Linked DNA regions of Bombyx mori. The protein of the gene in region 6 purifies or fractionates together with the protein of the main gene of each other region. This does not show direct contact. Links are inferred from orthologs where the notes say so. Each region holds a gene or a part of one and is shown on either strand. Other genes may lie near its edges. The genes, in order: DDB1- and CUL4-associated factor 7, PHD and RING finger domain-containing protein 1, MYND-type zinc finger-containing chromatin reader ZMYND8, Rybp, FACT complex subunit spt16 and Ck2b.

Region 1 (3,995 bases), on a different chromosome or scaffold from region 6:
GAAAATTTTTTGAAGACACCAATAATCTTCAGATAATCATTAACATAAATTTTGGACACAAATGAATTAACAAGATCTTCTATTAAATAAAAATCACAAACCTTATCATGAGCGATCAACTGAGTCTTCACGTGCCCAGACACTTCATTGACCCTGCCCAAGACCTGTCCAGTCTCCAAGCCCCAGATGGTGCAGGTCGTGTCAATACTACTGGTGCCAATGAGGTTAGGATCCACTTCGTTCCAATCAAAGGATGTAAGAGGAGCACAGAAGTCAGAATTCTTATTATTATTTAGGACACATTCGAATAATGTGTACGGCTCTCCGGCACGCCATATGCGTAGATAATCACCTGCAACATAAGGCACCATTGTGAAATTTTATTGAATAGTTTTACTTGAATTTGATTATTTATCAAAACTGTTTATGTCAACGAAAGTTGCCTCTATTAACATCACAATCATTCATATTGTACTCATAGGGTATCACTTATTTTTATTTATGTAGATTGATTATTATTGTTTGCATGAGTGTACCAGGCTCACCACAAACCGGGAGGAGTAGCGATTGCTTGTGAGGCGCATAACATCTGCCCTCAGCAATGATGCTGAATGACGACCACAACCGCTCTGACAAGAGTGATATGACGACAAAGGAGATAGACAGGCTCAGTTAAGTACAATTCAGTGGTTTATGGAGCTCAAAGACTATCATGAATACTGTTTCTCTAGAGAGAGATGATATTGTAAGCATTATTTTTGGGAGTATATGTTTTTGTCTATGTAGCAGTGTAAAAGTAAATTCAAGCCTCATTATCTCCATATTAAATATGGTAATCTTAGTGCTAACAAACTGCTACCGAAGTCTTACCGCTAGTTGCCAACAAGTCTGGATACACCCCCTTGCTATCAGGTATCCACATAATCTTGGTGGTCGGGTACGGGTGATCAAAGGTACTTTTTGCAGTGAACTCACTTGTGTCTTCATCAAGGGAAATTATTTGTACCTAGGATTTAAGAGTTTTATTAAGCTTATGTCATGCACAAGGAATGCTACAATACAGTATGTGTGTTAAATGAAACCATTAATATATTAGTTTTCACTAAAAATCCTTCAATGTAGTGAAAACTAATAAATTCATTTATATTAGGTAATATAAAACAATTTTTGGCAGACCCCTTTTTAAAATGAACTGATACCTCAAAACCCCATACCCAAATTATTTAAAAAACCCTATCCCTAGTTCTTTTCCTATTCATACAACATACTCACCAATTAAAACCTTTGCGGTCAAGTTATTGTGTGTCTAAGTGGGTTATATATCTTGGGAACTCCTGGTTTACTTACTATATGTTTGTATATTATGCTAAACAATTAACTAATTAGTAGTATGTAGTTGAGTTTTTACTAATTTAATGGTGGAATTAAGTAAGTAATATTATGCACCAATAATTACTTAGAATTTTTTTTTTCTTGCTGTATTTGTCTACTTGGTCTATAAGAACAGCCTCCACAAACTAAGTGCTCCTACCAATTCTGTCAACTACTGAAAAATGAACAACAACAAAAATATGTAATTTATTGTGTATTTTCTTTGGTAATATTATGCATTTATAGATTATAAGGCACACACCTCTATCTTTTATAATTCAATGAGTGGGAAATTTTTGACAAATTGACTTCCCTAAAATTGCATTAGCTTTGCATGATTCATTATCTGGGCCTTTATACTGTATTTACTTAATCCTGTTGGTATGTTTTGTAAATTACTAAATTAATATAATAACTGCTCTGTAAAAGCTTACTTTATTGTTGTATTCCTCAACAAAACTGCCCAGGGCTAACCTGAATCTCTTGTCAGGTCTGACAGACCAATTCATTGAGTATAATGGCCATGGCGCTTGGTATCTGTAAAAGATGTGTGACATAGAAATGCAGCTGTCTAGCTTATAGTGTTTTTTTTTTATCACAACTTCGTTTATGAGAATTTAACCTAACTGTATGAACAACTCAAATTTCGTACGTAATTATCAAGATAAGGCTGTTTTTGCAATTTGTTAACATCACTTTAGTTCTTTTCGGGAATTGTGAAAGGATTATCTGTATATTTCAAAACATCTAAAGCATTAAATTAGTAAGTCCCATAATGCCTGCTTGATTGTATTACAAATGTTTCGAAACATAGGAATGGGTACAGAAATAAATAACACGCTATACCTAATTATAATTAGCAATCTCAAAATTGGGTCAACTCTGTATTTTATACTGTCAATTATTTCCAATCTGTTATTTATAGTTCATATTGTGTTGTAACGTTACTTACTTGTATATTTCTTTACGTTTCGTGCCTGAACTGGTACTCGAACTGCTGTGTGGCATCGACATCACTGATAATGTTTAATGTTTCTGAAAACACAAATCAAAATGATATTTATATGAAATTTTAATGAATAGTGACTTTTTTATTTTTTTTGTCTTTCAAGTACGTAAGTTTTCATACCTTTCAAGTTATATTTTTTAGATTTTTACATATGGTTTTAAATTTACAAAAAATATATATTTTATGTACCTTTGCCGTAATATCACAGAATGGCCACCAAGCGGCTTTGTTATGTTTGATTTAAATATACCTATTTAAATATTGAACTGTCCATGAGCTTCTGTACCTTCAATTAATGTATTTTATAATTGGAAATTAACTAAAAACTTAGTTTTGTGTGGAGAAAACAAGCATGAAGCATTATTTTTACAAAATTTGACAACTGGCAAGTAGGACAATCTGACATTTTAATTTTTTTTCGTTTCGTTTTTTGACTAGGCAACGGGAATTTAGCATCTGCGAGTAAACCTCATCACTACATAGTATAAAACAAAGTCGCTTTCTCTGTCCCTATATCCCTATGTATACTTAAATCTTTAAAACTACGCAACGGATTTTGATGCGCTTTTTTTAATAGATAGAGATTGAAGAGGAAGGTTTATATGTATAATAACATCCATTAAATAGTGGAGAAATCAATAATCAATTACAGTTTCTGAAGCAAGGGCGGGTCCCTACTTTAGTATATGTCGAATCTCTGTTAGTTGTTAAAAAAGTGTAATGAAAATTATTTTATGAATGAAAATGAAATAATTTAAAAATAAATTAAATTGGCTGCAATAAGACGAAATTGGATTTGAAGACATATGCCTGGTAAAAATTCAATAATGAGTAAGCTACCTATTCGAAACTGAATGAGTAGTAAAACCAGGCTATGTATAGAAAGTTAAATAAACGACAATATCCACAGATGTCCACTGTTGAACAAAGGCCCCCCCAAAGCCTCGACACAACGACCGGTCCTACACTGTCTGCATTCGGCGGATTCCCGCTATATTTAACAGGTAGCTGGTCTGCCTTGTGGGAGCTCCACCCAAGCTACATCTTTACACAGTCGCCACTCGAAAGCGTTTCAGCCATAGTGGCCATCTGTTCTACGAGCAATGCTCTGCCCACTTCAATCTCACAATTCCTTCGGCTATGTCAGTTATTACGGTTTTCCTGCGAATTTCCATATTCCTGATCTGATATCGTAGGTAAAAAGGTTCTAAATTTCTTACGTTTTCTATTATTGTGTATAATATTTTTTTATTGCCTAGATACCTGGGCAGTCTCAGTTTCTTAATTAAAAATTAAGGACAGACTTATTAGTTTGTATAACTTTTTAACTCATAACTATGTTAAAGATTATTATAGATACTTAAAGTGCCCGAATTTAATTAATAGCAATAAAGTACACTGGCAATGTAAAACTTTTTATTAGGCGCTTTGTTCGAATGCCATGACGTTTCGAAGAGCGTCTGTCTGCTCGCCTGAGTTGTGTGTTCCCCATTTCGTGGTAACTAGAAACCAGATGCAATAGAAAACGGAACGTGATTACATGATAACAATCTTCAAAAATGAAAACGAAGGCCCCAATTAATTTTTTATAGCCTAAATCTGTAATAAACTAAAA
Region 2 (3,982 bases), on a different chromosome or scaffold from region 6:
GGGTGTAATTTATAATGAGCTGCTCAATCTGAATAAAAATATCACAAGCATCGCTATTGACTTCAATTAATGTGTTTATGAGCCTTAAAGAAAAACGGCCACTACACGAACAGAGACAGGACAAAGTGATTTTGCTACATGACAATGCTCTGCCTCATGTTGCAAAACCAGTGAAAGCCTACCCAGAAACGCTTCAATGGTAAGTTCTAGCCCACCCGCGGTATTCACCTGACATAGCCCCTTCTGATTTTCACCTATTCCATCCGATGGCACATGGCTTAACTGACCAGCACTTTCATTCATATGAAGAAGCTAAAAAATGGAACAATTCTTGGATAGCCTCAAAAGACAAATCGTTTTTCTGATGCGGAATGCATATACTGCCAGAAAGATGGGAGAAAGTAGTTGCTAGCCTTTGACAATACTTTGAATGAAATCTTTTTGTTGCTTATATTAAAACAAAGCTTTTATTTTGAAAGTAAATAGCGAGAACTTATTCAAGGTCCTAATATAGTAAAGTGCAATACTACCACGTCATGTAGTATTAAGTATTAAAATACATACAATTAAATTAAATGTAGATGTGTATCTATTTATTTTTGTATTTCATTGCCCTCTGTACACTTGAATCTATCAATGTCTGTTTTTTCTATTTACTTTCTACTCATGTGTAATGTTAATAGTGGAAAGTTGCATGATTTTGTTTACATATTTTTAATCTCTATATACAAAAATGAATTGCTGTTCCGATGCTGGACCGATTTGGCTAATTTTGGTCTTGAATTATTTGTGGAGGTTTAAAAGGTAGATAAATATGAAAATGCTCGGAATTAAATAAAAATAACAATTTTGTTTTTCCTTTTGTTTGTTTTAAGTTTATTTTATACAAAAGTTTAGGTCTTTTATTTATCGATTATGGCACTATGAAGTCTGCCAGGTCAGCTAGTATATTATAAGGATGTTTTGTACTGTTGGTTCCTCAAATAAATAACTTTAAAAAAATTATTTAAATTTTGAAAATTTTATAAATTATGTGGAATTACTATAAGTGTGGAGTATTGGAAGCCCTCATAGACAAGTATCACCACCTTGCCTATTTCCTGCTGTAGAGCAATCATGGTTGGAAATGTCTGAACCATCAGCCACACTATACAATAGATTTAAACCTCATGCCACAAGGTGGGTAGTGGCATTCACATTCTGATTTATATTATCACCACATAACACTAAGTGGGCCGTAAGCTCATTTTCACTAATTTATTTAATTAAAAAGGTACTGTAAACAAGCATATTTCTACACTGAAATATTCACACATTTGCTCAATTTAATTTTGTACTTTATTCCTTATATTCTTTAATATTATGATTATTTTAAAGGAGTAAATAGAAAGACTAGCTTTAAGGTCAGCTGATGTTCAGGGGTTAGCTGCCTTAGACCACACTTGACACAAACTCTTTATTCTTAAATCAAATTGAGCAAATGTGTGAATATTTCAGTGTAGAAATATGCTTGTTTACAGTACCTTTCCATAAAGACAAACACCTTTACAAAGATACTTAGTTACATTGTTCCGTTGATGATAAGTTAAATAGCCTTATTTTCAACTATCTAAACCCAGGCACACTATAGTGGCTTTGTATGATATTAATAGTAGTATATTTAAATCACTATTTCTCAACCTTTGTGGGTTTTATTTGTTTCTACTGAACACTAATTATTTTTCTAAAATAAAATTAGTCTTGGCTACTTTTATAGTGATAACTTCAGCGTTTCAGAGATTAGACAGAATGAACTAACAGCTAAAATGAGTTTTATGTTACAAGTACAATATATACTTTAATTGGATATTACAAGCACATTTAAATTTTATAAGCATAGCTCACCTCACACACTGTTGGGTCTTCAACCACCAGTACGTCTACAGAAGGTCTCCTTTCAATAACTTTCACTTGTTCAGTGCGCAGTACACGTCCACCGGCACAAGCTCTCACTACAATAGAGTCAAATGTCAGCCGATCCACAGGACAGGTATTCACATTTTTTGACCACTCAGTAATACAATCCAGACAAAATATATGTTCACAACTTTGAGGGGTTCCTACTTCTTGATCAGTAAACCGCATAAGGCAAATGGAACATTTTTCGGAGTTGCCTTCTGAGCTGTCGGAAGCGAACCCTGAGGTCGGCCTCGGTACAGCGTCGGCGAGACATGCAGCACCCTCGCTGTCCGAATCCCGTAATTTGGGCAGAGCCCGTCCTCGACGAGTGCGCACCACCTCGCTACCGCTGCTGTCAATCTCATCGTCGCTCACTACCTGTAACACGTAAACACATCATCACTTTTCTTGTCTCTCACAAGCTTCTGCAGGTTGTGCGACTTGTTTGCCATTGTAATAAGTATGATTGGATGCATCACCCTCATTCGGTTTCGACGTGTCCCGACTGCAGTGACGCTGTCGTCGCTCTCGGACTCGGAGGATGACAGAATCGTCACTCTTTTAATTTTACGTTTAGGTCGCGGAGGCGAGTCCTCGCTGTCGTCACTCATCCTGTCTAGCCGGACGCCTTCTTTGAGTTCAGCGAACGCGACACGAAGCCACTCGCAAAGGTGTAAACGACCTTTGCGCTATTAATCCCTAGCTCCGTTTGTTTGACTTATCAAAACTCATTCGATATAATGGTCTAAGCCTTGCATAATGCTAATATTCAAAAGATTACAAGGCATTCACGTTCATAAAACTTATTTTATTTTGACAGCAAGCCGCTATCGATGGTCGTTCAGCCATGTTTCCAGAGAGTCCAGGGACTTTTTTATTTTGCAGTTCACTTTGATAGGCAAAAACGACTTATGTCATAAAACCCTATGCATAAAAATTATCATTTTGCACTGAACTAAAACTAAACTAAAATAAAACGACAGTAATTAAAGTAATACTCACAACAATGGTAGAAGTGTACAGGCATAAAGCAATTTACAAAGGAGCTGTTTTCTTGGGTCTTACGAAGACGGCCGACAAAGTTTGGCAAGCTTAGAAAGTGTACAACATGGGCGTGCTAGACAGTTTCATATTTTTCTTACGAGGATCCTCAGCTCCTCTTCGGTCTATAAAATGACATTCCGCGGTAACCTCTGACCCAGTAAGAATTTTCAGCAATGATGCAACCATTTGCTAATCCAGTAGAAACAGTCCCTCGTTACGAAAAACTTAACGGGCAGCCGTTTTGAAAGTGGTGCATAGAAGCAAATCCAAATAAAGGTACATCCGTATTCTTTCAAAGAAAGAGTTCGAACCGAAACTTCTCTCGCATCAGGTGTACAAGGCTCTCACAAGATCACATACTTCGGTCAATGAATACTGGTGGTAGGACCTCATGTGAATCCACGCGGGTAGGTATCAACACCCAGCCTATTTCTGCCTAAAAAAAATAATAATCTTCAAGACGATCTGGATCTCGAATCCAGTCATAAAATTATTATATGAATAAAATAAAAACGACACGATAACCGTCTTATCGTGGCCACCACAAGATATACTCCTAATCCAGCTCATACAAGAACCAGGCACCGTCAACGCTGTAGTCATGTCCTTACGAATTTTTATCCCATCTCATCTCATCTCATTTCATTTTATTTCACTCCATTATTTTATCATTTTTCATAAAAATAAGAATGTAAATTAAAATGAGACATGACATAAAGATCTTAGTTACCAGGTCATAAAATCCATTAAAAAAAAAACGAATTTAACAGTTCATGTAACTCGTACATCTCACTGAAAAGCTCGACGTAAGCCTTACCGCCCTTACCCCATAGCATCCCGTTAAGTTTCTCACCTGTAACTCGTACATCTCACTGAAAAGCTCGACGTAAGCCTTACCGCCCCTACCCCATAGCATCCCGCTAAGTTTCTCACCGGATCTTCTCAATATTGAAGTACTTCTCATATTTCAATCTTGAAATCTTTTATTATTACTGTTGCT
Region 3 (3,500 bases), about 11 Mb from region 6:
GTGCACAATGTAAAAGTTCCAAATGGGTCCGTGGCCCATTATGGCATGTTTAGTGTTAAATCAAACCCACATTCTAAATATTATTTATAAGTAGAATTAAAACATTTCATTATCATTTTATTTGGTAGCTACCAGTTTGGTGTTTCAAACATTTTTAGTAACATTTCCTAATATATTTTGTAACAAAAAAGAACATATTACAAAAAATACACATTAGAAACTTTATGTTTGTTTACCAAAGTTATGTTTGATTTCGTCCAATCTCTGCTGGTGCCTCCACTTGGTCTGTTCGAGCTGCAGCTTCAGGGACGTGACCTGCGTCGATGGATCGTCGAGATTATCCAGCGAATCCTCCAGTAGCGTGCGGAAGAAATCGGCTAGCTGCAACAAATGTCGTAACACTGAGTAACTATTCTACCTAAATTTAAGGTACATTCTTTATGATTTAATGTAACAAGATAAAATTAGTTCCAAACGAGTAACTGTGCAGCGATTATATGTACATTTATATAAAAATTTCAATGTGTAGGTTGGTTTGTTTTTGTTTCGCAATTGAGGGTATTTTTATTTTTATATAGTACAAGCCGTACTCGGCCGCTTCGCTGGGCATTTAAAATTAACATTATTATTTATGGTCATTATTCTTAGGGAGTCCAACGCTCATATATCAATATCCATTAAGTACATGTATTTTCTACATGGATATCAAGTTTCAAGTCAATCGGATGCATGGTTCAGTAGTTATAACGGAACATCCGTAAAAACTACTGTAGATTTATATATTAGTATAGATTTTATGAACACTTGACAGGATTGTTTCGATCCCAGAAAAAACAATAGATGAGTCGACTATTATCAAAGCCGGCAATGTCACTTTTGGACAATTATTGGTAAATCAGAAATCGAATTATTGACTTTGTATTCCATTGGTAGTCACAAAACTCTTCTGAACGACATCTTAGATAAATAACAGGTTAAGTTAATACTTTATTTAATGCAAGTTTTGAACCGTATTCTTTGAAGGAGACGATTATATTCAAATCAATCTGTATTGACATATCAATAACATTTTTTTGTCCAAATGCACAGATTGCCACCTTTGATAATAGACGACTCAGATGTAACAGTGGGTCATATTTTTATTGAAACGAAAATATAATATTACGAATTTATAAGTATTTCGAATTTACCTTGATGGCATTCTGATTGAGTTTAGCCGTTAGAGGACCGACGGTAGATGGTGCTGGTACAATACCAATTGGGAAGTTGGGATCTAGTGGATTTTGTATCGGCGGCCGCTGCTGTAACCTCGGGAGCTAGATGAAAAGTAAGACATGAACGATGTTATTGACAGTCTGATTTAACGCATAAGATATTTACTATCCAAAAATACGTAAATCGAGTTAACGTCGCTTACGTTTGACAAAAGAGTTACGATAACTCGTCATGATGACTATTAAATGTCTAGGGCAAGTCAAATAATTGTAAGCCAGCGTCAAAAAAGTCAAATCCAAACGATCGGTATTTATTTTATTGCTCTAGTGGAGCAGTTATTTATATATTATTATTATTATTTAAATATTTTCGGTAGGCAGCGGCTTGACTCTGCCCCTGGCATTGCTGAAGTCCATGGGCGACGGTAACCACTCACCATCAGGTGTGCCGTATGCTCGTCTGCCAACAAGGGCAACAAAAATATATATATATTTTCAATAAAAGCCACAGCGTAAACGTCTTAGCTGGTTTTGAGGCACAAGCTTCGCTATTGTACCAATTACCCGAGTGAGCCAATAATACTCTCTAATATTTTTCTACAGTTGTGTTTATCGAGTATCAAAGCCCATAGATATCATAACATGAAAGACCCACATTGGGACATAAAGTCGAAGTCGCTCTTCATAAAGTCTAATGACTGTTTCACGACAGCGGTGGTATGCAATATTGTAAATAATGTCGAAATTAAATGAACTAGTGGTCCCCCGGTAGTCAGAATTCGACTATAATTAAGTGAAATTATAAGTTTGTACACTATTATGATTCTATTGTCCAAGATTCAAACTTCTATAATTTATAATTCTATATTCTATTTCTTTCTCTTCTATATTATATTCTACATTAATATAATCTATATAACTTCTTTAATCACAGATTTCGCCGACACTACATTTTAGACAAATATTAATAAAGACGAACAATAATTTTAATTTATTCTCAAATTGACCAGACTATAAGAAAAGTTTGACAATAAACAAATACTTAGTATGCATGCGTGTGTGTGTAATTTTTTTTTAATGTATTATTTACGCATAGTTTTAAAAAGTTAACATGCTGCACTCCTCTATATTCTACATAAGTATGGGAAATTTTATACTCCTCCGTCCGTGCAATTTTCGTAAAAAGGGGTACAAAGTTTTTGTTTCACGTATTAATATATAGATAGATTACAAAATGGCAACTCACTTCTGTGGGAGTGTTTGTGACGACAGAGTCTCCGGGCCGGCTCGGCGGTGCAGCGGCAAGGGGCGCGGGGCAGGCGGGGGTCGCAGGGGCGGGTGACACGACGGCGGCCGGCACCACGGTCGCCGCTTGACCGAGCCTTTCCGGAACACCGTTCACTAGCGGCGATGTGTTCGACTGTGTGATAATCAATGTACTACTTAGTTTCATAATTACTACTACCACTTAGTTTAATTAAAATAATTAAATAAAAATGAGGTGTACTTTTTACTAGTGGTAAGACCTCTTGTGAGTCCGCGCGGGTAGGTACTACCACCCTACCGGTTCGAAGGGTGTTGCAGCCGTTGTAACTATACTGAGACCTTAGAATTTTTATCTCAAGGTGGGTGGCGCATTTACGTTGTATATGTCTATGGGCTCCAATAACCACTTAACACCATGTGGGCTGTGAGCTTGTCCACCCATCTAAGCAATAAAAATAAATAAATAAAACCCTAGAATATATTTTTATAAATTTATCTCTTACAAATTTTTTAACTAGGCCAACAAGTATTTAAATATTCGTGCTTTTAAAAAAATACAAATCACTAGGGGCGTTTTCGTGATTGACCCAATTTAAAAATTTACCCATATTTAATTAAGTTGTTTTTCACATACATTCCTATATTGTGCTAACTACCGTCAAATATTATATATGGGCTACTTTGAATTTTACGATTGGAACATCCTATATGTTCGTCAGGAGCATTTCGCTCGAGTTACCTTATAGAAAATTAGTATGTCCCTTATGTGCTTACATCGATAGCTCCGACGGACATCACAGGTTGTAAACTAAACATCCACTGTCCATTGACGGAAGTCATGAGGGGCACCGTGTGGACGGTGGTCGGCACTTGCCCAACTGTGGGCGCCAACTGTACTGGGGTTGTGACCGCGGTGCTGGCCGACGTCAGCGTAGGCGGCAACATCTGTGTTGTCACTGTATTTACACCATTGTTTCCTGTCAAAAAGAACGTTAATTTTTATTATGATAGGATTAATTT
Region 4 (4,298 bases), on a different chromosome or scaffold from region 6:
GTGCAGTGTAGGATAGTGATTGTTGGAATTCATATTATGATGTCTGATGAAGGTCTAATAAAAGACCGAAACGTTGCAAATATAATAATGTAATTTGTTATTATGATCCTATCTTGCCCACATTCCTGAGATACAAACTATTTTATATTTATTTAATTGTACTAGAGGTCCCGCAGTAGTCGAAATTCGACTATAATTAATTGGAATTGTAAGTTTGTACACTATTATAATTGTATTTTATCCTTCTATCATCACAAATTTCGCCAAGACTACACTAAAAAAAATATTAACAAAGACAAACAATGTTTAATCTATTCTCAATTTGACAACAGACGTCAAGAACAAAAGCTTGATAATAAATAGTATGCATGCGTGTGTGCGTTAAATACATGGTATGTAGTGTGTGTAATGTTTTCCTTATTGATTTAATTAATGTATATTTTATGCATTATTTAAAAAAAATATTAGCATTGTGCACTTCTCTATATTCTCTTTAAGTGTGGAAATTTTCAACGCCTCCGTCCGCGCAATTTTCGTAAAAAGGAATATTTATTGGTCAAGGAAAGCCAGGCTGAAATTAGATTCGTATTAGAAAAAAAAAAAACAATAAATTCAAAGTTAGAATTAAACGTTCGTTTTAAATTGATAATTTTCGTGAAAAGATCCAAGATTTTTGAACCACGCGTATTTCGCTTCAAGTAGAAAAAAATGAAAGGACTTCTTTCGTAAAACTCAGGTAGAGATTTTATTTCTATCGCCGTCACAAAAAAGGGGTCGTTTTCTAAGAAACGGCATAGAAATATTTCTCAAAGGCTTACCGTGCTTCATAGTTTTTGTTTAAACGATTTTAAGCTTTAAAATAACCAGTATAAGACACATAATTGAATTTCTGCGTTTAAGTATCGGTACCTATTTAAAAATGTACACAATTTTGTTGACTGATATTTGGGTTCAGTGGTTTAGTGTTGGTGTGTCATTTGGAATAGATATTTCGAATTTTAAAACGTTTGGAGTTCTTGACCTTTACTTAATGTAGCGGCCCTTTTGTGGCTGGTCAAAGACTTGTGCTATCAGCTAATTCTTTTTGGTTCCAAAGTAATGAATGACTAGATAAGACTAGGTTCATAGACCTTATACTAAGAAGATCCACCTCCCGCCTCAACAATCCACGGAAAGAATAATATTATTATGGTAACGTTTGCGTTATTATTTAATTTTATCAACTAGTTCACCACCATTCTGCCTGTCTTTGCCGCAAAATAGCCCTTTTGAATTTTGGGACCAATAATAAAATGACCATATCCGCATTCGGTCTTCTATTAAGCCCAACCAACAATATACTTATGTACTTTATTCGCTGTTTATTATTATGTTTGAATTTTATTCTAAGAAAAATTTATAAATCTTAATTCATGAATAACGCCATCTAGTATTGCTATTTTGTAGCTAAAACAGCTCAGAAGAATGTGGCGCCTTCACGCTGTTTAACCGACGTAACATTGACGGCTGTCATGGCGTAAAAGTGTACAATCTTTGTGCACAGTAAAACAAAAATAATGATTTCCCGACGCATTAATTCACAATTGTGCATTAGAAATAATAGTTTTCAATCAAAAATATCATGATAGACGTGTCTTAGCTACGTTTAGTTGCGTGTATGCATTAAAATGGACAAGAAAAATGCCATTAGAAGAGCCAAAAGGCCATCAAAAGTGCTGGAAGAAAACTACTGGGATTGTAGTGTTTGCACGTACAGGAATAACGCGGAAGCTTTCAAATGTTCCATGTGTGACGTTAGAAAAGGTAAATACTGTAACTGAACGCCAATATTTTTCATATATGTAAATTCTGCACACGAATTTGACCTAAATGATCTAATTCACGCACACAGAGCCACGTATCTTAACACGATGATTGTTTCAATGAGCTTTTTATTAATTAACTACGTAACCTTTTCATATAATAAAACGCTCAGAACTGCAGACATTTAAGTATAAAAGGGCATTCACATTACGTATTCAAATTCTAACCTAAAACCTAAACCAAGGACGAAAATTATTGATTAGTCTAGGGCGACGTTACGAATAAGAGCGAATAAGTATGAGATTCATATAAGAATAAAATCTCGACGTATCAAACATTGATTACGAGTTAAAGTTCCGCAATAAAAGTACGGAAAGAAGTAATCATAGTATTTCTACACCGAAGTCAGTAAGTAGTAGAATATAATTTTTTTTTTAAATTGGTAACCAAAAACTTCACTATAGCGGTGCATTTTTCTACCGGCTGCTTCTCTAGTAGACCTTCAAGACGGTTTCCTATAATGTTCTTGTATCAAAATAGGCAAAGCATCAAACACGAATTACCTAGATGACCTGACTTAGATTTTTTCGTTTTCTGTACATACAAAGTAGAAAGGTTTGTGTTTTTGTATATCAAAATAGTACATAACACTGGACAAAAAAAAAATCTTAACTGAAAAGTATAATGGCTGTTTCTAATTACAACAAGCAATCTTGAGTATACCATGAGATGGACATGAACCACCATATATACATAACTGCTATTAAAATATTCCATCATATTTGGCATTTTGCATAACTTTAAGTGTATGATGTTAGACATCAGTATTATACTAATTTTGTTGGCAAAGCACTCATTTGTTATGGTATGAAGAGCTTACCGTTATTCAAATAAGTACTTAATGAGCGAGGACATTCATGTTGTGATCTCAATATTATTGCATAGTCCAGAAAAAAAAAAAAATGTACATACATATTGACGCTTGAAAGGCGAAAGTGACTAAGCGACAATAACTGATTTGTACATAACAAAATATATATTTCTAGGTCTATTAAAACCTATTTCAATCCTACAGCTACTAGCTAGATTCTACTACAGCTAGATTCGTTAAAATAAATTTTGTTTTCAGGTATTCCAACTTTCAATTAGTCTACTGTACAGTTCACACATTGTCACTTAGTCATGTTTGCCTTTCAAGCGTCGATATGCTCTCTGGAAAACAACTGATGTTCTATTTTGGAAACATATATTTACTAACCTATATAAATTATCTCTTATTATATAGAAGTGATAAGGCTGCTCATTGCCACCACTTGTTTATTTCTATCATAATATACATGTTTCTTGTATGTATAAGATATACTTTCTGTGTATGTTTACTACAAGGATTGCCCTATCAATGTGTGTCACTATCGATAAATATTGTCAATAACATGGGAATTTCCAGCATGTTGGTTTATAAACTTATAACACTGTATATGAATCGTCTATTATCAAAGGTGGCAATCTGTGCATTTGGACAAAAATTTTTATTGGTATGTCAATACAGATTGATTTGAATATAATCGTCTCCTTCAAAGAATACGGTTCAAAACCTGCATTAAATAAAGGTTAATAGTTAACCTGTTATTTATCTAAGATGTCGTTCCGAAGAGTTTTGTGACTGCCAATGGAATACAAAGTCAATAATTCGTTTTTCTGATTTACCAATCATTGTCCAAAAGTCAGATTGCCGGCTTTGATAATAGTCGACTCATATATAAGATTAATTTATTCTTTCTACCCATTTTCATTATTGGCACATTCTTACAGGACAACTGATGGTAAATGGTTACTGTGTTGCTCACAGAATTCTGTAATGTCAAATGTGCAATTAAAGTAACTTGTACTTCTGAGGACACTTTTCAAATACTTGTTTGAAGAAGGACATGTTATAGTGGTCTCTTGAAACAAACTGAAGAAAATTAATTGAAAAATGAGAGACCATTTGGAAAATTGTTTTTTTTAAATCTGGCGTTAAGGAATTAGTTTGTTTTGGTACGAAGGTAGCTGAGTGAGGTAATTTTTGCAATGGGTCCGAATATTTCATAGTTTTTATGGTAATAGACAAGTGAGGTTTGAATAATGAGCTATTTACTGGTAAGTAGTAGGACCTCTTGTGAGTCCGCACGGGTAGGTACCACCACCCTGCCTATTTCTGCCGTGAAGCAGTAATGCGTTTCGGTTTGTATAGTGCGGCAGCCATTGTAATTATACTGAGACCTTAGAACTCATATCTCAAGGTGGGTGGCGCATTTACGTTGTAAATATCTATGGGCTCCGATAATCACTTAACATTAGGTGGATGGTGAGTTCGTCCACCCATCTAAGCAATAAAAAAAAATTTTTTTTTTCAATTAAATTATTTTGGAAATTTTGAAATTCCTAATCGTAAACATAGTCCTACTGACTCTCGACGACTCTTGTTGACTCGTACGTGATTACCACGGTAACTG
Region 5 (3,500 bases), on a different chromosome or scaffold from region 6:
GCCAGGCCTACTCTAACTTCCTTACCTGCATTCCGTCAACAACTAGTGTGGTTCAAGAAGGTTCTAGTGTCAAATTTAAATAATTGTCCCACTACCTAATAATTTTTGCTGTTGGTTCTAATTGAACCCAAAGGTTTACTACACATGTTAATGACAATTGGCCTTTTACAACATAATATTTTATATTCAACCGTCATTATCTAAAAGTTTATCCCGTTTTTAATTTCATTTTAATACTTATAAATTATACTCTTGTAGAAAATTTATTTGTTTTCGTATTAGGTCTGGAAAGAGTCCTTGGGTATTATCAGTGGCTTGGTTGTATATATTAGAATGAGTGAAATGAGTGACAGACATTTCAGTAATCACTTTATTCAGCTTAGAATTTATTTCCTGTCAAATGACACATTATGGTTGGTTGGTTGGTATGGTTGGTTTAAGTTTCATGTATATGAAGCAAATGGTTCAATTAGGAAAAATCTTGGATTACTACTATTATGTGTAGATGAGGATGCTTGAGGTAATAGTATTAGCCTGAGGTGGTGTCTTTTGATTAATTAGTCAGATATAATTAGTCAAGTGTCTCTCTCTTTCTCTCTCTTAATCTCAAGATTAATATCAAAAAATATTTATAGGATATTGTGAGCCTCTGTCGGTAAGTACCACTATTCTGCCTATTTGAGGCAATCATTCATTCTGATGTAAATAGTGGGACATCTATTATACAATAGAATTGATTTTCCAATTACATCAAGAAGGATGATGGCATCCATATTGTTAAGTGCATAAACTCCTGTATCAGAATGAACTTCTTTCTTTACAGAGTATAATTTTTTCTTGAATCTTAGTGAAAAAAAAAAATCCTATGATTTCTGTATGCATATAAACTTTTAATACTACTTAACCTATAATATCAAAATCAATTCAAAAACAAAAACTTTTAAGATTTCTGACACTCAGATAAGTAGTATAACAATGACACACTGATTGTTGATTATATTTTGTCAGTTCTCTTTAGAACTATGCTTACTTCAGAACTAATTTGGTCTCTGTTGTAATAAGCTAAGGAGCATTTTGCTTTAAAAATGAACCTTTTTCAGGATTTAATGCAACCTTTTTTTTTCACTTGAGTCAATAAGCAGTACCTGCAATATGTCAATGAGCTAGAATACAGTGCTGTCTTAAAACATTTCGATGCCTCCAATGAACACTACGCTAACTCCAAATTCGTAGATTTACAGGAGAAGCGTTTAAACGAAAAAAGTTGATAAAATCTTTATTATTGCTTTATGGTTTTTTTGTGTAGCTAGCTGATTTACTCTTGCTTCGAACCCCATCAATAATGATTAATTGTAATACCTTTTAAATAGTGAAGCATATGCGTGAAAAACGAAAATTTCAAAATTTTGAATTAGAGTAGTGTTCATTGGAGGCATCAATTTAATTTATTTTATTATTTATTAATTTATAACAAAACTCTTTGTGTTTATGATATTTATTAAAGTTATTGTTTTGTTTTTTCTAGACATGGCTGTTTGGATATGAGTTACCTGACACAATCACTGTCTTAACAGAGCATAGCATGTGTTTTTTAGCCAGTAAGAAGAAGATTGAATTCCTGAGACAAATAGAAAATGGTAAAGATGAAACTGAATTGCCCCCAGCAAAACTTCTTATTAGAGACAGAGTAAGTCCATTTGTGCACTTTCTAAAACAAACAAAGTTTCTATGACCTAAAGTTAGCCAGCTATATATTTTGTATCACAATTCAGCGTTAAACTCTCATTAAGCGGCTGCCAGGTTTCAAATTTTGTGGCAAATACCAATTTTTACCAACTGATTGTGTATCATGAGCTTGTACAATGATGATTCATGCGATTGTAATTTTTTTTCCATAGAATGACAAAGACAAGGAAAACTTCAACAAACTTCTCCAAGAAATAAAGAAATCAAAATCAGGCAAGACACTGGGTATTTTCGTGAAAGACAATTATCCAGGTGAATTTTGTGAAAGTTGGAAAGCAGTTCTGAAGGGAGAGAAGTTTGAAAATGTCGATGTCAGTTCAGCGATTGCATTATTAATGGCGCCAAAAGAAGACTCTGAAATTATTACAATAAAAAAAGCATGTCTGGTCACAGTGGATGTCTTCACAAAATACTTAAAAGATCAGATAATGGAAATTATTGATTCAGATAAGGTATGTATTAGACATTCAAATAAGTGATCAATTCTAATCAAATTATTTTAAATTAATATACTTTTAATAACAAAAATTCACTTTTCAGAAAGTCAAACATTCAAAACTTGCTGAAGGTGTGGAAACAGCAGTTTCAGATAAGAAATATGTAACAGGAGTCGATACAAGTCAAGTTGACATGTGTTATCCTCCTATTATACAGTCAGGCGGACACTATAGTTTGAAATTCAGTGCAGTATCTGATAAAAACCACTTACACTTTGGCGCCATAGTATGTTCACTAGGTGCTAGATACAAATCATATTGTTCGAACATAGTCCGTACATTACTGGTCAACCCAACTGATGAAGTACAAAGTAATTACAATTTCTTGTTAAATATTGAAGAAGAGGTGATGAAGAGTCTTGTAGCTGGAGCGAAATTATCTACAGTTTATGAAGCTGGTCTAGCGTTAGCCAAGAAAGAGAAACCTAACTTAGTTGAAAATCTCACTAAGAGTTTTGGGTAATAGTTTTATTATATAAATCAATATGTTTTAATCTTGAATTCCAAAAACAATGGATGTTCTTGGTGTTTATGTATATTATTCTGATATTCTTTATGCTTTGCAGATTCGCTATGGGTATAGAATTTCGTGAAAGTTCCATTATTATTGGACCTAAAACAAATGTTACCGCGAAAAAAGGAATGGTCTTCAACATAAACATTGGCTTGGCGAACTTAACAAACAGTAATGCCTCAGATAAGGAGGGGAAGGTAGTGTATCAAAATATTTTGTTGTGGTACCAGTGTGTTGACAAATTAACATTTTTAAATCTTATACTTAATACAAGTAGTTGTTTCTTTATTATTTGTAAGTTTAAACAAATTTTAGTCCTTTCTTCAGTGTCAAGAAGCATTGGTGTCACGAAATCTTGAATTAAATTTATTTATTACAGCTATGTTCCACTACAAGGCAAAAGCCACCCTACCCTCTGCTAAACACTGGGTCTATTAAAAGAGGATAGTTTCCTCAAAGTCTCAGCCATACTACTATTTTGAAAGTCGTCGTGGCCTAAAGGATAAGACGTCCGGTGCATTCGTGTGTAGCGATGCACCGGTGTTCGAATCCCGCAGGGTACCAATTTTTCTAATGAAATACGTACTCAACAAATGTTCACGATTGACTTCCACGGTGAAGGAATAACATCGTGTAATAAAAATCAAACCCGCAAAATTATAATTTGCGTAATCACTGGTGGTAGGACCTCTTGGGAGTCTGCACGGGTAGGTACCACCACCCCGCCTATTTCCGCCGTGAAG
Region 6 (4,281 bases):
TTGGGAGTCCGCACGGGTAGGTACCACCACCCCGCCTATTTCTGCCGTGAAGCAGTAATGCGTTTCGGCTTGAAGGGTGGGGCAGCCGTTGTCACTATACTGAGACCTTAGAACTTATATCTTAAGGTGGGTGGCGCATTTACGTTGTCGATGTCTATGGGCTCCAGTAACCACTTAACACCAGGTGGGCTGTAAGCACGTCCACCCATCTAAAAAAAAAAAACTAACACTACGCGATCGGCCACATTTCGTTCGTCAGAAAATACGTGACGTCTGCTGGCCCTAGGATCTTACTCTACACACTCGTCCTCGACCTGTCTCGTGGTGTTTCGACGACCGTGTACAGCTGGCGTTTTCCTCATATTGAAACGCATTTTTTTTTCCTACCTAAGCGGATAGCCTTGATAGGCTATTTCAGCGTAACTATAATTAGTAGGTGAGCTCATGGGGATCAAACCTGACGACGTTGCTAACACGAACCCTAGCAAGAGCCGTGCTTCGCAAAATCTACCACCGGATCGGAAACGCGACCCACTGAGAAGATCCGGCGAGAAACTCAGTAGGCTGTGTCTGTGGGTTAACTTACTCGAGCCCTTCGTCGCAAGTGACGGGTTCGACGAGAACGATGACCGGTGAAATGCATGACATTCACGGCAGAATAAACACGGTACAGCTCGTTCTCTGCAGGTGGACGATACAAGCATAGATAATATACTAATTTAAGACCTCAAGCAGCACCTGCACAGCTATGTCGAGGTTGATAACAATACTATTACCCAGTTGACCATTCCAGCGGAGCGCATTTAATTAAGTATGTTCCATTTTTTTATTATTGTAGCACTGCTATAGAATTGTTATCCCCGAATTTGAACTTTTGGAATAATCATGTACCGAAAATAAATAGTCGCACGGTGGAAACGGATTCTTTCCTACACAGACGTCACTATTAAATGGTAGCCTACGACGAAACAAAACGCTAGGAAAGTTTTATTCTTCATTAAAATTTATTACAATATTAATATTTAACATAGGAGTTTAACAGTAACACATTACTGGAATTTTTACTAGAACCTCAGTGATTACTTAAGTGCAGCTCTTTTGTGCCATTTCTGCAACGTCTACAAGTTAGTTTTAAACTGTCACAAATATTAAACTGTTACATACCTCCATTAATATCAAACATCAATAAATAAAATATTGCAGTTCACGGGATTCGGTCCTTTTACACTTCTATGAAAAAAGGTCATACACCACGAAATTTTCATATTACTTAATCATATAGCAGCTTTTACTTACTATATAGTATATAGATGTGAAACACCGACCATTCGAGGAAAAAATTTGACTGTGGACATGAAAATATAGAGATTAATATTTTTCTCAGATCATAGACTAGAGCATCGACAAAATCATTCTATTCATATTCCGTACGCACACACTGAAATTTGCAATTTCTCTCTCCCTCTTTCCAAGAGGTGTATCCTCCCGTCAAGCGTGGCTAATCAAGGCACGAAAAGGTGAGGTTTGTCGTCATTTTATCTCAATATTCCATGATTACTGCGAAAAAAAACACATTAAATCTTTGCCAAATTCGTTAATTTACTGTGAAATTGTGAAAAACAGCTTTGAAGACATAAAATAACAGGTGATAACATAGGAATGCATAAAATTTGTTGTAACAGCAACGTGTGGCGGGTCTGAAGTTTTGATTGTATTTATGTGATTCTTTCGTCCCACATACCTAATTTAATATGATTGTTTTATTAGAAAAATGAGCAGCTCCGAGGAGGTATCCTGGATCGCTTGGTTTTGCACGCTTCGAGGCAATGAGTTTTTCTGTGAGGTGAGTCTCGACTATTCGATCGCTGTAATAAAATGTTACCTTATTGATCGTCATAATATTATATCTTGTGCAGGTTGACGAAGACTACATAAATGATAAATTTAATCTAACCGGCTTAAATGAGCAAGTTCCACATTATAGAGAGGCGCTGGACATGATTCTGGATCTGGAGCCAGGTGATCAGTTAACAATAATTTTCCTTCTCAACTTAATTGTAAAGTACTATTGAAAATCAAATATAAAATGAAAGTTGCAGACATTTTGTTGCATGCCATTATTTAAATAGATTTCTCTAAAACAAAGAACTGTATGTTTCTACATGATTCTCATTTATGAAATTCTGCATTCATCAGAATCATCATAAATGAGAATGTTGTATTGTAAATGTTCATTAAATCTAAATGTTTCAGATGATGACATTGAAGACAATCCAAATGAATCTGATCTGGTGGAACAAGCATCGGAGATACTATATGGATTGATACATGCCCGGTACATATTGACCAATAGGTGAGTTGCATTACATTGTATGTTAATTATTGTCTTTAATACTTTTAATGTAGTATGATAAAACAAATTATAAAAAAAATTAAGTGCATCAATGATAAATAATAGTAATGAGTACTCAAAAGGGGTCTTTACTAAATATTTAAATATTTTTTTTTATATCCCAAGATAATAACTTAACTTAAGCTACACTACATTTCCAATGCCACAGTCATATAACCGACTAGGGTTATTGTTGTCCCCACACAACGTGGTCTCGCCTTGTCGTGGCGGTGGGGCTTAAGCGTGCACCCCGATACCGTGGAGCAGCGTTGTCTGCACAGGGGTGGCGTGAACTAAGAAGACTGCACACCGTGTTCCCTTTTCCCACCTTTGCTAAGCAAAGGGTGCGTGAAGAGCGAAGAGGGCTCCCTTCTGGAGCCTCTTGTATGCTAGGCCATGTCCCCGGCGGTTCTCTGGCTGTTAAAGGGGAAGGCCCTCCAGAGGGGGGTACCGGTACGCCGGCGTGGCCACAACGTGGTCAGACGTGTGGGTCTGTCAGTAATGGTAGACCCACGTGGATGAGAAGTGAACCGGAGGGCACTCCCTTCCGGTCGCTGGTCGTCATGTCCCCGGCTGCCTCTTGGTGGCTACAGGGGAAGGCCCTCCAGAGGGGGGTACCGGTTTACCGGCGTGGCTTCGTAGAAGCATACCGTAATCCCTACCGAGTAGGAGGCGGGGGCCGCTGCCTAGCAGGGGCCGCGAGGATGCGAACCTCTATAAAAAATGCCCTAATCTTAAGCTTGTGACGTGTCCGGTGATGAGATGAGTGGCTGGAGGGAGTCCAGTCGTGAGGACCGTCCCAGGGGACCGACCCCTGGTTAAATAAAAAGGAACAAATATAATGATGGCAAACTTAAAACAAAAATTACCCCAGGAGGGTACCACCTTAGGTGGAGAATCCCTCCGTGCTTTCACCTCGGTGGGAGCACGCTGCCCCGCGTATTCTGGGGGGGGCAAAGAATGCCATGATGAAGGGGGCTGTGCGACGGGCAGCGGAAAACCCGTCGAACCGAGGTGTGCCAGCGCTGGCTCGACGCGTTCTGCGCTCGTCAGCGACGGCGAAACAGTTGATCCGAAAGGGACAGCCGCCAAGAAGATCAGGCGGAAGAGGAAATCCTGGCGAGTTTCCTCTCGTGAGGGGGTAGGGGAGCCAGCATCGTCCTCTGGTGCGGATGCCCCGCCGGAGAAAGTGCTGGTAGTCTCCGATGCGGCATCTGCTGCAGAGGAGATGCCGCCCCCTAAAGGAAGACCCGCCCGTAGAAGGGGCGCGCCGTCACCGGCGCCATCATCAGTGTCGATGTCTGTCGCCTCACTGGACGGGCAGACGACGGAGGAGGAAGAGGGTGGCCTTCAGGACCCTGCCTTGGTCATAGACAGGGCCATGAAGACCATCAAAACCTATGCGGCCAACGGCACCAAGACCAAAGCCGCTGGCCGTAAACTGCGAGAAGTGGTCTCGCAAGTCTCGAAGGTTCTGCCTTCGGTTGCTTCTGCCAATGACCAGGTAGTGCAGCTGAGGGCGGAGAATTCGAGGCTTCGAGCACAGCTTCAAGCACAGCAGCAGCCCAATGATGGCGCAGCGACGCCTTGGGTCGCTGGAGCCCCTCGAGGTCCCCGTCCCCCGGCGCTGACTGGCGACCGATGGCCTGTGCTGCCGCCACCGCGTGTGGCACAGCAGAGGCCGCGTCTCCCGTCGCCGCGCTCTAGGGAGACGACCGCTGCCGAGCGACAGCAAGCACTCGCGGGGCCACGGATGTTGGCTCCGCTACAACCAACAAACTTCAGCCTGGAAGAGGTCATCAGCCGCACCATCCAGGCTGTAATAGAAAGGCTGGGCGGCAGGTTGGCGGCTCTCGAGGCGAAAGTCCCTACCTCGGCTGACGCTAGGC

Evidence for each region.
Region 1: the proteins of Ck2b (region 6) and DDB1- and CUL4-associated factor 7 purify together in Homo sapiens (affinity purification with mass spectrometry; 4 studies listed by BioGRID and IntAct, with this or other methods). This does not show direct contact. The link is inferred for Bombyx mori from reciprocal best matches to the Homo sapiens genes CSNK2B and DCAF7.
Region 2: the proteins of Ck2b (region 6) and PHD and RING finger domain-containing protein 1 purify together in Homo sapiens (affinity purification with mass spectrometry; 3 studies listed by BioGRID and IntAct, with this or other methods). This does not show direct contact. The link is inferred for Bombyx mori from reciprocal best matches to the Homo sapiens genes CSNK2B and PHRF1.
Region 3: the proteins of Ck2b (region 6) and MYND-type zinc finger-containing chromatin reader ZMYND8 purify together in Homo sapiens (affinity purification with mass spectrometry; 3 studies listed by BioGRID and IntAct, with this or other methods). This does not show direct contact. The link is inferred for Bombyx mori from reciprocal best matches to the Homo sapiens genes CSNK2B and ZMYND8.
Region 4: the proteins of Ck2b (region 6) and Rybp purify together in Homo sapiens (affinity purification with mass spectrometry; 5 studies listed by BioGRID and IntAct, counting the BioPlex papers as one, with this or other methods). This does not show direct contact. The link is inferred for Bombyx mori from reciprocal best matches to the Homo sapiens genes CSNK2B and YAF2.
Region 5: the proteins of Ck2b (region 6) and FACT complex subunit spt16 fractionate together in Homo sapiens (co-fractionation; 4 studies listed by BioGRID and IntAct, with this or other methods). This does not show direct contact. The link is inferred for Bombyx mori from reciprocal best matches to the Homo sapiens genes CSNK2B and SUPT16H.

What each region holds. Positions count from the first base shown.
Region 1 is NC_085118.1:1,110,545-1,114,539, forward strand, and holds the start of DDB1- and CUL4-associated factor 7, read right to left. Parts: upstream 2,801-3,995; 5' UTR 2,570-2,800; intron 2,407-2,569; 5' UTR 2,386-2,406; coding exon 2,324-2,385; intron 1,909-2,323; coding exon 1,806-1,908; intron 1,007-1,805; coding exon 871-1,006; intron 353-870; coding exon 102-352; intron 1-101. UniProt on the Homo sapiens protein: Involved in craniofacial development. Acts upstream of the EDN1 pathway and is required for formation of the upper jaw equivalent, the palatoquadrate. The activity required for EDN1 pathway function differs between the first and second arches.
Region 2 is NC_085129.1:15,713,029-15,717,010, reverse strand, and holds the start of PHD and RING finger domain-containing protein 1, read right to left. Parts: upstream 2,801-3,982; 5' UTR 2,550-2,800; coding exon 2,418-2,549; intron 2,317-2,417; coding exon 1,885-2,316; intron 735-1,884; exon of another isoform or gene 1-734.
Region 3 is NC_085121.1:12,333,573-12,337,072, reverse strand, and holds part of MYND-type zinc finger-containing chromatin reader ZMYND8, read right to left. Parts: intron 3,458-3,500; coding exon 3,255-3,457; intron 2,635-3,254; coding exon 2,461-2,634; intron 1,317-2,460; coding exon 1,191-1,316; intron 382-1,190; coding exon 237-381; intron 1-236. UniProt on the Homo sapiens protein: Chromatin reader that recognizes dual histone modifications such as histone H3.1 dimethylated at 'Lys-36' and histone H4 acetylated at 'Lys-16' (H3.1K36me2-H4K16ac) and histone H3 methylated at 'Lys-4' and histone H4 acetylated at 'Lys-14' (H3K4me1-H3K14ac).
Region 4 is NC_085134.1:5,459,482-5,463,779, reverse strand, and holds the start of Rybp (ring and YY1 binding protein), read left to right. Parts: upstream 1-1,498; 5' UTR 1,499-1,667; coding exon 1,668-1,803; intron 1,804-4,298. UniProt on the Homo sapiens protein: Binds to MYC and inhibits MYC-mediated transactivation. Also binds to MYCN and enhances MYCN-dependent transcriptional activation. Increases calpain 2-mediated proteolysis of YY1 in vitro.
Region 5 is NC_085116.1:13,764,485-13,767,984, forward strand, and holds part of FACT complex subunit spt16, read left to right. Parts: intron 1-1,525; coding exon 1,526-1,687; intron 1,688-1,898; coding exon 1,899-2,198; intron 2,199-2,286; coding exon 2,287-2,702; intron 2,703-2,809; coding exon 2,810-2,954; intron 2,955-3,500. UniProt on the Homo sapiens protein: Component of the FACT complex, a general chromatin factor that acts to reorganize nucleosomes. The FACT complex is involved in multiple processes that require DNA as a template such as mRNA elongation, DNA replication and DNA repair.
Region 6 is NC_085121.1:1,778,339-1,782,619, reverse strand, and holds the start of Ck2b (casein kinase 2 beta subunit), read left to right. Parts: upstream 1-1,481; 5' UTR 1,482-1,517; exon of another isoform or gene 1,518-1,645; intron 1,646-1,767; exon of another isoform or gene 1,768-1,768; 5' UTR 1,769-1,771; coding exon 1,772-1,843; intron 1,844-1,916; coding exon 1,917-2,019; intron 2,020-2,253; coding exon 2,254-2,353; intron 2,354-4,281. UniProt on the Homo sapiens protein: Regulatory subunit of casein kinase II/CK2.